Diceros bicornis minor: one gene and its partner. The protein of the gene in region 1 purifies or fractionates together with the protein of each later gene. This does not show direct contact. Links are inferred from orthologs where the notes say so. Each region holds a gene or a part of one and is shown on either strand. Other genes may lie near its edges.

Region 1 (7,730 bases):
TGCGCTAACCAGGCAGCTCTGGGACACCAGCCACAGGGCGCCAGGAGCCAGGAGTGCTGTCGGGGGCTTTTGTTCCCTGTTGCCGGGATATCTGCCTGCTCAGTCATCCGAGCCCTGAGCCGCAGGGTGGCTCTCAGTGCCACCCCGTCCCGCCCTCCCTCCCTTACTCTGCCGCTTGCGGCCTCTGGCCAAAGGCCTCAGCTCCCCCAGGGCCTGGACAGCCATTGCCCTCCGCCTGGGCCTGGCTGGCCCTCTCTGTGAAGTGAGTGAGTGGGTCGGGGGTGGGGTGGGGCTGGACAACCAACTGAGGGTGTGAGGGTGTGTGTGCCTGCGAGTGTGTGTAGGGATGAAGTGTGGGGGGATCTGATGACTTTCTTTGTTTGTTGAGCCAGCTGCTGACCTGGGCCCTCACCCCCCGCGGCCCCCCCCCCCCTCCCCGGCTATGAGGTCTCAGTTGATTATTACCCAGCCAAGAGCATAGTGCTCATTCCTGGGGCTCATTTCTCGCGGCCTGAGCTTCACAGGCTTGGGGTAGGTCTCTGCTTTCTCACTGAGGCTGCAAACAGCACTGCCCCAGGGTCAGGGCCCAAAAAACGTGGAATAGCTTGGGACTGTTGTCCTGCGGCCTAGCCCCTGTGGGTGCCCCAGGGAAGAGCTGGGCATCCTCAGGGCCTCTGTCCTCAACTAGCCCCTGATCCTGATGGTTGAAGACTCTCAGAGCAATGCCTGCCCAGCCTCAAATCACTATCCTGCCTTGTTCATTTCTAGCTGTGTAGTCGTATCCAAACCATGCTGGGGGACAGGGGTCTTGGGCCTGGACAGCAGGACAGGTGGGTGGGTAGTGTGCCCTGGCAAGGCCGGGATGTTTACACGGTGGCCTGGGCCCCTTGGCTGCTCTGTGCCAGGTTCCAGAGACTTGGAACATGAAGCCAGTGCGGGAGGCAGAGCCCCTGTGGTAAGCACCTGGCTCAGGTAATTGTCCCCCCAGGGAGGCTGACTGAGAAGAGGGGGAGGAGTGGAGGCAGGAAACTGGGGAGGGGTTGGGGTGGGGGGCAGGGACAGCAGCTTTAGGAAGGCCCCATAGCCCCTCCAATAGGACACAGCTGGCCTTCACACCCCACAGCACTCCCCCTCCCCCACCAGCAGACTGCAGCAAGGCAGGATGCAGAGCCTGGCAGGGGGCGATGCTCCAGCTTCCGCTTCTGAGTCGGCCCTGACTAACTGTCCTTGGGCGGGGCAGTGTCTAGGAATTCTAGGACTTGGAACAAAAATGTGTCCCTCAGTCCATCATCCTCCCCTAGGGGCTGTGTTCACGCATAGTCTGGCCCTGGGCTTTGGGCTGGGCCTGCTGGATGCGTGCGTGACAAGTGCTTTCCCCTTGAACCTCAGCATTCACACCCCTAAAGCCCTCTGAACATCCTCCCTGTCCCTCTCTGAAGTCAAAGGTGGAGGCAGCTCAAGCACTGGGCTCCCTCGAGGTCTTTCCTCGACGGCCTTCCTCCCTCGGGGCCCTGGCTGCACCATGCCTACTTGACCTGCGGATCTGGGACATGAGTTCAGTCCCCGCGGGTGTGGGGACCTAGGGAGGGCACGGGGAGGGAACGGCTGCCACCTGTACCTCCCCTACCTGCCAGGTGGGATCAGCGTGGCGGAAGTAGCAGAAGTTGTCCGTGATCCACTTGTAGATGGCCGACAGGGTGATCTTGGTGGCCTTGCTGGCCTGCATGGCCATGCAGATAAGCGTGGCATAAGAGTAGGGCGGCTTCACGTGTGGGTTAGTGGCGTAGTCTACGTCGTCGGGGGGCGGGGCCTGCAGCCCCGGGGGCGCGCTCCGAGACGTGCACGACGACGTGGGCTTGCCCGGCGTGTGCGGCTGCCCCAGGCAGGCGGGGTCGGCCGCCAGAGGCGAACCTGGCGCCGCCGAGCCTGGCACCTGGTGGTAGCCATGGGGGTCGGTGTCCCCCGGGGGCAGGGCGGGGGCCTTGGCGTTGAGAATGGAGAATTCCTGCAGCCACTGCAGGCTGGTCAGGCTGTCGTCCAGGGCGTCGGGCTCCTCCAGGCCGCCCTCCGACCCGGCCTCCTCCGCCACCCCTGCTCCTGAGAGACGTAACCAGCTCTCCGCCATGTCTGTGGGGGCTCTTCAAGGGGGCGGTCAACATCCACGGACTAAGCCAAGGGTGGCCCGCCGCGTTCTCCGGCCCGCTGACTCCCGCGGCTCCGGTTACACAGCCTCCTGGACGCGCACTTCCATCTTGCGACCTGGGGGTCGCCTCCTCCGAATACGAATGTGGTGCCTGTGGGGACCGCAACGGGGGCTGAGCACCCTTCCCCCGCCCCCGAGGGAAGAGTGTGTGCGAGGGGGGAGGCTCCTCTAAAATCGTCCCCGCAAGCTGGAGAGGATCTTTTAGTGCCAAGGTCTGGGAAACAGAAGTAGTGCCTGACCCTCACAAGGTCCGTCTCGCTCTTCTTTTCCTCTTCGAGATTTCAGAGGAGACTTTATTAGCCAAATGAGGAAAGAGGTAGGGGCATCCGAGGCTATCCCCTTCTTCCCAAGAGCGGGAAATCAGAGCCCCTCCTTCCTGCAACAAGTGGAAGTGAGGCGAGGGAGCCCGGGAGGGCAGTACGATAGGGCAGGGGGCCTGGGGAGGTCGTCTGATCTTTGAAAAGGGATGTTAGGATGGGGGATCACGGGAAGGAAGGGAACAGGACAGAGTTACGGGGGGCGGGAAGTGAGTGTCCCCCAAACTCCTCAGATGTCAGTCCCCCGGCCCACCACTTCCTTCAGGGACAGATGGGAGAGCGGGCTGGTACCAACGCTCTCCCTTCCCGCGTCCCGCAGCCCTTTCCGTCCCTTACCTGGCTCAGAGCGCAACCTGGGCCAAAGGAAGGTTCTGGAAGAAGTTCCTCCCACCCCCTGCGGCTCTCTGCCTCCAGCTCGAGGGCCCGCTAGTGCCCCTCGTCGCCCCCCCACCGGACGGCGCCTCTCTGAGCGACAGCAGCCCCAGGACCGGCATTAAGTAGCCGCTCCAAAGGCTTCTCCTGCTGCTATGGCGACGCTCCGCCCCCATAAACAGCTTCCGCTGCTGCCATTGGTCAGCACGTCTCCAAGGAGACCGCGGGCTCTTGCCACTCTCTCTGGCGGTAACTCTCTTCGAACTCCCTCCTTCTGCCGCCCTCTCCCGCGCCACCCAGGCCCCTACCCGCCACCGAGTCCCGGCTCCGCGCATTCCCGCCCGAGGGCCCCGCGCAGGGCTCGGAGAAGCGCGCGGTCCGGCGCCTCCGCCAGAGACCCCGGGCACCCGACGAGCCGTTCGCCCGGGAACCGCTCTCGCGCCCCGCCCCCTTCCCATCTGGGCTGCCTCGAGGTGCTGGCGGCTCCTGGGACGCGGCCCAGGGCGTGGGGGCCAAGGCTGGGAGCAGGCGCAGGCTCGGGAACCGTATGCTTGGGGGTTTCCTTTCCTCTCCTCTGGGCTGCGTGTGGCACTTCCTCACGTTTCTGCAGCCTTTCCCTCTCTCCCGACCCAGAGTGTGCTCTCTGGTGTCAGCAGGCAGGTATGACTCTCCGATGCCACCTGCCGCTCAGATCCGCAGAAACGGCTGCACTGACGGCAGACACACCAAGGCGGGTAGGGTAATCCGGTGTTTCCCGGTAAGCGGCTTCCTCTCCACCTCTGTCCTCAGGAAGGTTCCCGGAAGCTGACATTCCAGAGGCTTCTGCAGAAGTGCTCTTTCTCTTTTCCAGATAGCTGAGGTAGCAGAGCCCATGGGTAAAACTGACCAAATTCTCCTAGTGGGGCCATTTGCCCCATTAATTTCACCAACTTTTAAGTGACAGGGACTAAGGCTAGAGGGACACGGGGGACTGTGGCCCTTCCTCCTCCCTTCCCCTGGCCTCACTCCTGCCACCAGCTTTCCTGCTCTTCAATTATTGAGGAGCTGCAGTGTTGGAGGTTCTCCGGTTTAAGGGTGAGGGTGGGGGTGAGGGCTCCATACTCAGGCCTCTGCCCAGGAGCAGGGGAGCTGGGGGTGGGAAGCTTGTGCCCAGGGGATGGCACATCAGCTTCTGCCCAGGAGCATGTCTTGCCCTACCCCTTGCCCTCTCCCATTCCTCCACCTCCAGATTCTCCTGAGGAAAAATATTAAAGAGTGCTGGGGAAAGTCAGACAGAAACTTTCACAAATAAGCCAACTGTGCAGTTAACAGCTCTCCTTCCTTTGTAAACAGTTTTATTCATTTTTAAGAATCATGCAGCAATCCATAAATATTGCATCCTTGATGTCCCCACTGTAGTGTGCCCATGAGTGCACTCCAGGGAGTCACAGTGGTACACAGAGGGCACAACAGTACACACACACACTTGCACACACCAGGTGTGCAGATCCTAAAGCAAAGTGAGCAACCAGCATGCCAAGATCAGGTGGACAGGACACTACCTCTCCCCAGGTTAAACGGCTTAAAGTGTGTGGGTCTGTCCCCAGGAGATTCCCCAAAGTGGCCATGAACTCTGGAGGGATGGAACTGGGTAGGGGAAGGAAAAAAGGCTCTACGAGGTGGCCAGGATCACCACACCACTCGGAGGCCATGGGAGAGCTCAGACCTGAGTATGGCAGGAAGGAGCTACAGGCTTCCAGTTAGTGTGTGCTCTCGTGTGAGAAGGCAGGCCCCATCGCATTCTCTCTGGGTCAACTGCTTACACACAATGACTGTCTCCAGATGATGGGTTCGGGCAGTAGGGTTGGCAGCTGCCCTGTTCCCTGATCAAGCTGACTGAGGACCAGCCCCTTTGGATGGGATGATGGGATGTTTCTGCTTGCCAAAGAGCTAAATGAGTACCAAGAGATGAGAGAGAGAGAGAGAGAGAGAGAGAAAGAGGGAGGGAGGGAGGGAGGGAGAGAGAGAGAGACAGAGGGAGGGAGAGGGGGAGAGGGAGAGAGAAAAGGAACTGTCTGAGAAACAAAGAGTGAAGGGCCATTTCTAACCCAGGTATGTCTTGGTTATGGAACCAAGGTCTTGAAGAATCTTTCTGAGCCCCTTCCTGGGAGAGGACACAGACCCTCCAGAAGGGGTGAAGATAATGGCTTCCTCTTAGGGTTCCTAGCCACTGTGGGCTACTGTTTACCTGCATCTCCTTCATCTCAGGTAACACCACACTGTGACTACTACCTGCCAGGAGAGGAGGGGGGTCTGTGTGCCACCACCCCATGCTAACGGAAGCTCCATCCCCTGGTGCTTCTGGGGCTCAAAATTCAAGGAAATCAGCAAGTGGGGTTATTGCTCAAATATTAAATATGTAAGAATGTGGGGGAAAGATAGGACATTAAGCGGGGCCCGAAACAGCAGAGTCCACTGTAGGATTTCAGAGACAGTGGACATGGAAACTCAAGACAGAAGCTTAAATTCAGGTTTGGCTCATGTCACATATGTCAGGACAACAGGCCTCCCCCCCCCCAACCCCCCAGGGCAGGACGTGAGCCACAACCACTAGTCAGTGTGAGGGTCACCACCTACCTGGCAGTGCAAAAAAGCCACACAGAAGGCGCAAAGGATCCCCTGAGCACTGGACTCTCTTTGAGGCCTTGGAAATGGCCCTGAAAAACTCTTTTAGGATGACAATTCCAAATGCTAAGACTGGCCATCATGATGGGGACAGCCTGCGGCTCTGCCATATCTCAGCCTCACAAATTGTTGTACCTAACTTTGCTTCCCAATCTCATGCTCCACTAAACAACCACCTTTTCCGAAAGTAAGTAGACAAAGCATCTATCCAAGAGCGATGTGGACTCCAACGATAACACTAGTGTTGAAAGAGGAGTAACTCCCAACATCTTACAGTCTAGCATTGCCATTTCAAGCTTTTGTTTATATGCCTCACACTGGACTGAGGTGGGGTGGGGTGGGCATATAATTTGAACAACAGTATCTCTAAATCTTTAATGAGCCTATGGAAGGCAATCCCTCCCCCTCCCCCATCAGGCTCAGCGGATCTGGAAGGCAGTGGAGGAAAACATGGGTGGGGAGGCTCCCAGACCACTGCTGGCCCCACCTCAGTGCCCTCCACCACATCCTTGGGGACTCCTGGGCACCAATTTGAGGATCACCGGTCCCCCCACCTTTCAGCCTGTTTCTCCAACTATTAATACGAAAAGGGGTGGAGACAGGAACAATAGGGATAAGAATACCACCTGACAGGGCTGTAGGGATGAAATGTGATAAGATCCCACAGCCCCACCACAGTACCCGGCACATAAAGGTGGTTAAAAAGGTTTTTTTGGAAATGTCACCTTAGGATGCAGTCCCGGGCCTTCATGAATGTGCCTGATCATAAATCACCCTCGTAAGGGCAATCATTTAATAGGGGGTTCTCAGATTCGGGGTCTTCTTCCTGAGCAGACCAACACACGAGGCAGAGGAGACTAGTTCTGCTACCAGAAGCAAGAACAGTTTTTTCAACCAATCTTTTTGTTGCCACTGTTTCTAGTTCTTGCGAAAGGAGCTCCTGATGCTTTTTGTGTGTGTGTGCGAGGAAGATCAGCTCTGAGCTAACATTCATGCCGATCCTCCTCTTTTTGCTGAAGACTGGCCCTGGGCTAACATCTGTGCCCATCTTCCTCTACTTTATATGGGACGCCGCCACAGCATGGCCTGACAAATGGTGCCTTGGTGCACACCAGGGATCCGAACCCGGGCCGCCAGCAGCGGAGCACGCACACTTAACCACTACGCCATGGGGCCAGCCCCTCCTGATGCTTTTTGAGGGAAATTCCACTTAGAGTGAAATATGGCTTTCCCTTCTCACAGGAGTCATCCCCCAACCCCACCCCAAGTTGGAGGTTTCAAATCAGTTATGATGTCCCAGAGACCTGAAAATGCCAGATGGGTGTTCGCAATGAAGCCGTGAAAACTCCAAATCATCTTGGTCTACCCACTCAGGAGAAAAAAGATGCACAAGAAACAACCAGCCTGTGGACCTTGGCTCCACCTGAAGACCAACATATGGTGGAAACATTCCAGAGAGTCTTTGCAAAGGGTCTCATGAGCCACAGTTCATTGAGTGGCTTTAGCCCACAAGGAGCAAGGAGGGTTCCAGTTCCTTCTGGGAGGGGAAGGATCAGGGTATAGAAGGAGACAAGGCTGGGAGAAGGAGCAATTGATCTCAAGGTCCAGCTCTCACATAGGTATAAAAAGTCTCCATGTGTCTTGCTGAGGATGCCCACGAGGCCAGCGGTCCAATGAGGCCAGGATGGAATGCGAGGACGGAGAGGAGCCCTGGCACAGGCTGGGCCCTCAAACGGCCAAAGGGCCCCACATACAGGGCCTGCTCTCGGGGTCCTCCAGGCTGCCGGATGATAAGCGCCGGCGCTGTGTGTTCCGACGACTGACAATGTTGTCATCGTCCTGCCAGGAACCTGGAGAAGAGAAAAGGAAGGTTATAGGAGCCAGACCTTTGGCCGGGTCCAGATGGTGATTCCAGCAGGGCAGCCCAGGAGTTCGGCAGAGAAGCCAGCAGGATCCGTGTTACCTGAAACTCCCATGCGTGTGCAAGCCACAGCGTGTGAGAAAGAGACTCAGGGGAAGTGGGTGCCAACAGGTGCAGGGACTGCTTGTGGCCCACTGGACTATGTACAGCCATGGCCACTGTGGCCCACTACCAAGAGAGACCCGCAGGATGCTCCTTGTTTTGTAAACTTACCCTACAATCCACTTTTGTATCTTTATTTGGTTTTGGGGTT
Region 2 (7,086 bases), on another chromosome or scaffold:
TTAATGATGCAAATATTGTATTTGACATTCTGTATTCAATGAAGGGAAAAATCTACATGTGTATATCAAAAAATAATTTGGTCTTGAGAAAAAATAATTTATGATTTAATTACCATCTTTCTGTGCTGGGAGTAAAAATTGAATTCCAGGTTATATATAAGGATGGACATACCTCAGGACTGCCAAGTAAACAGTTGGTTTGAATTACTTAAAGAGAACAAAATTAGAAAGACAAATCTAACAGAAAAAAAAATATTGCAATATTTTAAAAACCAAAATATACTTTGAGTGGGGATGGGTAGAGCTGGGAGTGCTCCCGAGAACAGTGGCAAACTATGTACAGTTTTGAATTACCTCGGCCTCTATCACTCTCTATCATTATTGATAATTAGCATATATCCACAGAATTTCAGATCTAGTAAAGGTAATTAGTAATCCAGTAGTCTAATTCCCCAGTACTCTGCATATAAGTACTCAATAAACACTGGTTGAAATGAAACCATTCATTTCACATATGAGAACTAAGACTCTAGTTGTCTCTCAATTGAAGAAAATTGGATATTATAATCAAGTGAAACATTTTTAAACAGGTGTGATTTCTGCTTTATAAAAGGATGCACCACAAATTCAGTGGTAAGCTGCCACAGACTGATACATTTTCAAAACTCTCATAAATACAATTTTTCAAAAGTAAACCTATCACATATCTGTATTTTATCTTTTCACATACAGCTTTTCCTTTTACAAGCATTAATGTTGAAGTAATTTTTTAGTTCTTGAATATGCAGTAGATATCAATAGGAGGAAATAACCTAACAGATAATATTGAAAAGGAAATTTACCCTTAAGAAGGTACTAAAGTAACTGATAAAGTATATAATCATACATAAATAATCAGGGCTTCATACTTTTCAAGTGGTTGTCTCTGCCAATCACTCCAAGCTGAGAGCAAAAACAATCCAAGTTCAAAGGACACAACATTTAAAATTCGTAGATATTGACTTTGAGCATTTAACAGAGAGGAACTATGTTTGGCCCATATCAGGTACTCAACAAATAATTATTGCATCGACAGTTTATTGAATTTTTCAAGGAATGTAAAAATTTTTTGGTTAGGTACCTTGTCTCATTGAGCCCAGTGTGTACTGCAGGGTAACAGGTAATAAATGTTAGACACTGCCGGATCTTTTCTGTGACTTCTTAACAAATAATTTATTTCTGAAACATATGTACAACATATGTGAAGAGGCAACTATGCAGCTTAAAAATGACCAAAAAGGAGATCCTATCAGAACTGACTATAGGCAAAAGGATTTCTGGGTCCTTTCATAACTAGTTATAGCACAAAATAATACATGCATATATAATCCAGGATGTTTCCAAATCGATAGCTTGAATTGGTAGTCTGGTTATTGGATTCAGTGTGGTGGTAATATTGACAATTTCATATTACAGTAACTTCAATATGGTTAGAAGTCATACCATCAATTGTCCTAGAACACGGAAAAATATTCTAAATCCTAAAGAACTCACTTAAAGAAATATATCTATTCCTAATTCAGGAAAAGATCAAATCAGGAAGTAGGTAAAAAAAAAAAAAAAAGTCGTCTTTAAGCGGCTGAAAACTGATGTTACAACGCCCTCGCACAAAGGTCACACACTTTTTCTAAAGGAGAGTTCCTCAAAGTACCGATTTTCACTCTTGAGACACAGTTTTGCACAAGCTTCATTATGTGGTTTTCTCGCCTGCAGATTTAAAAGCAATAGATAAAAAGGGTGGGGAGGATAACAGAGCTATGTTCACTGACGGCAGGAAGAAGCAACAGCTGACAGTGAGGGAAGGGACAAGCAAACTATAACAGACAATAGAACTAAAAAAGAAAAGCTATTCAGAGCTGTGTAGTGTGAGCAAACAGCCCCGCACAGTTATAGGAATAGAGGACTTTATCCGTAAATGTAATAAACGAATATTCATAATGACTACCAGTTTTCATACAGCTGGAGTGCTGTGTATCTTTCCCACATGTATGTCGAAATTATTGTAAATCTAAAGAGTTTAACTGTTGTTGTTCACCACATTGTCATTTGTCTCAGACTAGAAAGGCCTTCTACATGGTGGGTCATAGAACCTTTTAGCTTGAGCACCGTACTTACCACTGTTCACTATTACATTGTCATACATTATCATCAGAACCTCTATAACTCATTATGAGATTACCATGGGCAACAACATTACTTTCTTAAATCTATTGTTTAAATAGTTCGTTCCTAAAATACCCTTATCTAATATTCCATGACACAGAGCCGTAATATAAAACCACTGATTTTTAAGACTCAGCGCCTGTTTTCCCTAAAATGAGAATGTTTTGTACCTAATAGTGGTGTTATGAGGATTAAATGAGATAATGTATGTAAAACACTAAACACAACGTCTGGGGCTGTATAAGAGCTCAGTAATGGTCGCTATTATTATTTCAGCACTGTGAATTTATGTCGGCCCAAATCCCTTACTTTGCAGGTGCAAAGATTAAGCCTCAAGAGGAGAACTGACTTCCTAAGGCTCTACATCTAACGTTATTGTCTTGGATAAGCAGCTTAGCTGCCTGTGTTGGAGGTTTGGGGTATTGGCAGGGCCCAGGGGCATGTGCCTGTAGGACTCTCGTCTGCAGAGAATTGGACGGGTATGTTAGAAATGTGAGGTATTAGAGGCTGTGCAATCCCAATGGGTGTTCGAGACACCGGGTTGTGTGCTAACAACGTGCATCACGGACGGAAGCCATTCGTCTATCTCAATACAGCCAGAAACAGCAAGACCCTGAGATACAGCGGGTTGTCAAGTAACCCGGCCGAGGGCAGGGCAAGTCATAGGATAGTGGGTTGAGCTCAAATCGCGGTTCGGTCAACTTCAAAGAGGGACGAGCCCTTTACTGAAGGGCTGAAGATAACGAGGAACTAGAAACTAACGGGGTGCTATCCCCGGCAGGTGTAAGTTACCCCAACCCTCAACGCCTTTCGCGGAACGGGACCGCCATGTGTTTTCTCATCCTCCGGCGAGGGCAATTTCTCGCTTCTTCTTAGCACTTACTCCCCGCCCTGTGGGTGGGGAGTGGGTCCCCCGCCTCTCCGCTCTGGAATGAAGACCGCGGGAGCTCCGACCTTGCCCTCTGCGCCCCGGGACGGCGGCAGGCCGGCGCGCTGCCCACCAGCAGCCCGGGCTCGCCGGCTCCAAGATGGCGGCGGAGGCAGCGGCTCACGCCCCGCCGCCCGCGCTCCTCCAGATCGCCTCTCGGGAGGCGAGAGCGGGTTGGAGGGCGGAAAGCCGGAGGGCGAAGGCGGCTCGGACTCTCCAGTCCAGCGCGGGTCCAGGAGCCCCGGAGTGCCCAGGCATACTCTAAGCCAGCAGGCCGATGCCACTGGGAACACCTCCGGCGCCTCAGAAAAGAGAAAAAAAAAAAAAAAAAAGAGGAGAAAAGGAAAAAAAAACAGAATGACCGAGCGAGCAACGGCACATCCGGGACCCTCCGCCCGCCCCGCCCCGGAAATGACGTTTTAGACTGCGGTGGGGGGGCAGAAGCCGCTCTTCAAAGTAGATTCTTCTTTGGCTGCAGCTCGTCTCCGTACAAAGTGTCTGGAATCGTCCTCAACCACCCCTCCCTCGGATTAGCAGTTACCCTCTCGCAGCTCTAGGCCTTCTTTGCACAAAGCTGGCTGCTGGGACTGGCAGCTCGCGTTTCACAGAAAGTATCCTTCGCACACGCCCCTGAACAAGCCCTCCAGCCTGGCCAGCGCTTGTACTAGCGTGCCTCCGAGACGACTCTCGGGTGACCTCAACCCTCCCAAACCTAAGCGCGTCTCTTCAGAGCCCTTCCTCGGAAGCCCGGCCTCGCGCCCCCAAGCCCGGGTTCGGGTGCTGTCAGTCACGGCCCTGGGCCCGCCCCTTCCGGCCGCTCGCCGGGCCCGCCTCCTCCCCTCTTCCCTCTCCCCCTCCCCGTGCGAGTGTCTCCCTCTGCCTCTCGCTCTCTCTCTCTCCCTCTCTCTCTCTTTTGTGAGTTATAGCAACCGTTGCCTTGTGAATCAAGCGCCATAGTCACCGTAGTCCTGGCGACTGTTACCCATCAACAACAACTACTCCTCTCCTCCTCCTCCTCCTCTTCCTCCTCCTCCTCCCCACCACCACCATCTCCATCACCCACCAACAACACCACAATAATCCACAGCCAAGGTGAATATTCTTCGGTCTCTACATGTGTGTGGGAGCGTGTGAATGCGTGTGTCCGTGCGTGTGTGTGTCCGTGTGTGCGAGCCGAGTGTGGCTGTGCGGGGGTCTCACTCCTGACACCGGGGGCTGCCGCTGCGGCGCCGCTGCCGAGGGGCTCCGTCCCCCGGGCTTGTTTACAATGGACCGTGCGCGCCGCGGCTGGGTCGGGGGTGTGGGCGCCGCGCCGCCCGCCCGCCGGCCCCGGCCCTCGGCGGCCGCGCTGCAGGGATGGAGCGGGAGCTCGGAGGGCTCCGAGACGAGCGGGAGAGGGAGCCACAGTTTGCCGATGCGGATGGTGAAGCTCTCCCCTAGGTCTGGTCTGAGAAGGAAGGGTCAGGTGAAGAGAGAAGGGTTTTTTCCCTTTCTTTCTTTCATTTTCTTCTTTTCCAAAGCTGCTTGTTTCCTGCTTCTTTCAAAACCGAAATAGACAACAGTGTGCAGGGGGGAACCCAAGAGGTGATGTTTTGTTGTTGTTGCTGTTGTTCACTTGTGGGGCCTTGTGAAGGGTTTTGTTATTTTTATCCTCCTGCAACGGTGAACTTTTCCCACCGCCTCCCCCCTTCATTTTTGCCCCTCTTTGGCTTGTGCTACATGGGCTGCTCATCATCAGCGGCATGGTTTTTTTTTTTCTTTTAAAACTGTGTTTTCTTTGTGCTGCAAACAGTCTTAATATCCATTCAGCACTCTTCCCTACCCCCCTTACTTCTCCCCCCACACCCCTTGCACACACATTGAAACCGGGGGCCTCTTCGCTGGGCTCTTTGCTGCGCTGGCAAAGAGATTTTTTTTTTTAAGTCGCTGTCTTCTCTCTCTCTTTTTTGGTGTGTGTGCGTGCGTGTCTGTGCGCGCGCTTGTGATTTAAACCGGATGCAGGGCATCTGTGATACTTGGGTTAGTAGTTATTGACAGTGCTTTATCCTTCATGTGGAGGTGGGAGGGGTACCAGTGAGGTTCCATTTCACTTTGATGAACCTCCTTCCCAACAGTGGAGTGTTAACACTTTTCATTGCGGTTATGAGACTTTGTGTGTGATAAGCAGGGAAAGGACATAAGGAAGCTTTGTGAGAACTCAGTTTACAGTGTTATTTGTGACAGTTACGGTACTTAAAAGAGTTTCTTTCTTTTTTTTTTCTTCATCCTCTCTGTTCGTTTTCCTTTGAGAGTTGAAATTGAAGTCAAGTTGTTCATAAAGAATGTATGAAGCTTCTCAACTTGAAACGTGTGTATATTTCACTTTCTTTGTGGTTGTTAAGATCTCGGCATGTGTGTACTTAACGTATTCTTTCTTATTTACTTTTTTAAATTTATTTTTATTTATTTTACTTTTTTGAACAGTGGCTTAAACCTGCTGAGGAGAGAGAACTTTTTCGCTTTTAAGTCTTTTAAAAATCTGTTTTTCTCTGTAGATTTGAATACTTATCGGTCCTCAAGTGGTAGAGCTCTTGGTAGAGGTAACCCAATATTACAGATCCTGTAAATTTGTTCATTTTTTAGCTGAACGTTTAATTAATAGATTATCAGTAAAGAGTTTTGATAATGTGCACTAAAACAAATATAATGTACTCTTATATTTGCACATATTGAAGTTTCCAATTTGGCATTTTAAAATACTTATTTAAAGTCTTCTTTCTAATAGCAAACATATATTGATTTACCTGACAGAGCAGCCTGTGAATAATGTGACAGTTTTAATTATTCTTGAGATTGTCAGTGAGCAGGTTGGGTAATTGTAATGCTATTAAGGCTAATATTTTGTAAAATAAGAGTTGGGGGTTAAAAGACTTTTACTCTTTCAATTCATTTCCTTGTGATTGCTACTTTAAATGAGGATGATATTTTGTTCTGAAAGAAATCTTTCTCGGAGCACTCAAATTTCTTTATATTTATTCATCCCCTCCCCAGCCTGGGTTCCATGCAGATCTCTAATACTAACTTGTATTTTTTTTTTCTGTTCAGATGAGTGTCAAATGCCTGAACACTTTTGGATGGTGAAGCTCCTGGGTCCTAAAAACTCTCTCTGAAGTTAATAGGAGTTTTGCTGTCTTGAGACAGTTTCAGACCTTATGCCATTTACATAATAGGTTTTCAGTGGAGTAGATTATATGCTATAATGTTATGGTTTAATATTTTTATTTGCAGTGCCCAAGAACTTTTCTGAGGCATTTCACTCATTACAACCATCTCAGGTTTTCTATAATTTAGATTTTAATTCACAAGTTGATTTGAGAACAGAACTTAAATTGAATTCTGCAGCTTATCCATTTTTGAAAGCACACATGTGGTATAAAAGTTGCTGTTAGAGATGCTTTGGGCTTAAGTATGTCAACATTTTTTATATGGATTGAGTAAATAATAACCAGAAATACTAACAAATGATAAATTTTAAAATTTAACACAAGGATAAATACTTAGCAGTTAGTTTATTCTTTCTGTGTTATTTTTCCTAGGAGGGACTGTATTATATATTGCTGTTCTCGTGTCTCCTCAGTTTTCAGACTAACGAAAATCTGTGAAAGTGACCACGCTTTAAAACTAAAACTTAAATAGGAGTCACTTGTAATTTGTTTTGAGTAGCTGAATATCTGTGATTTGTTGCATACTGTCTGTCTCAATCTTTTTAGATTGTTTTGCCTATGAATAGCATTAAATGGTTTAGGCATATTTATTTAGTACATTTACATGTATAGTATAGTAAACTAAATGCATTCCTAAAATACATCATTCCACAATGTTTTCATTATATGAGATAGTTATGCCTAATTTTAAAAATAATGTATTATTTCTCCAGTATTCAAATAGTCTTGTACTCTACTGAGGTCCTCAAATAA

Evidence for each region. The genes of interacting proteins can lie anywhere in the genome.
Region 2: the proteins of FOXJ1 (region 1) and RFX3 purify together in Homo sapiens (affinity purification with mass spectrometry; 3 studies listed by BioGRID and IntAct, counting the BioPlex papers as one, with this or other methods). This does not show direct contact. The link is inferred for Diceros bicornis minor from reciprocal best matches to the Homo sapiens genes FOXJ1 and RFX3.

The regions. Positions count from the first base shown.
Region 1 is NC_080757.1:56,492,626-56,500,355, forward strand, and holds the start of FOXJ1 (forkhead box protein J1), read right to left. Parts: upstream 3,008-7,730; 5' UTR 2,857-3,007; intron 2,295-2,856; 5' UTR 2,126-2,294; coding exon 1,628-2,125; intron 1-1,627. Other genes in the region: E3 ubiquitin ligase RNF157, read right to left, coding at 7,285-7,406. UniProt on the Homo sapiens protein: Transcription factor specifically required for the formation of motile cilia. Acts by activating transcription of genes that mediate assembly of motile cilia, such as CFAP157.
Region 2 is NC_080761.1:27,726,869-27,733,954, reverse strand, and holds the start of RFX3 (transcription factor RFX3), read left to right. Parts: upstream 1-4,070; 5' UTR 4,071-4,222; intron 4,223-7,086. UniProt on the Homo sapiens protein: Transcription factor required for ciliogenesis and islet cell differentiation during endocrine pancreas development. Essential for the differentiation of nodal monocilia and left-right asymmetry specification during embryogenesis.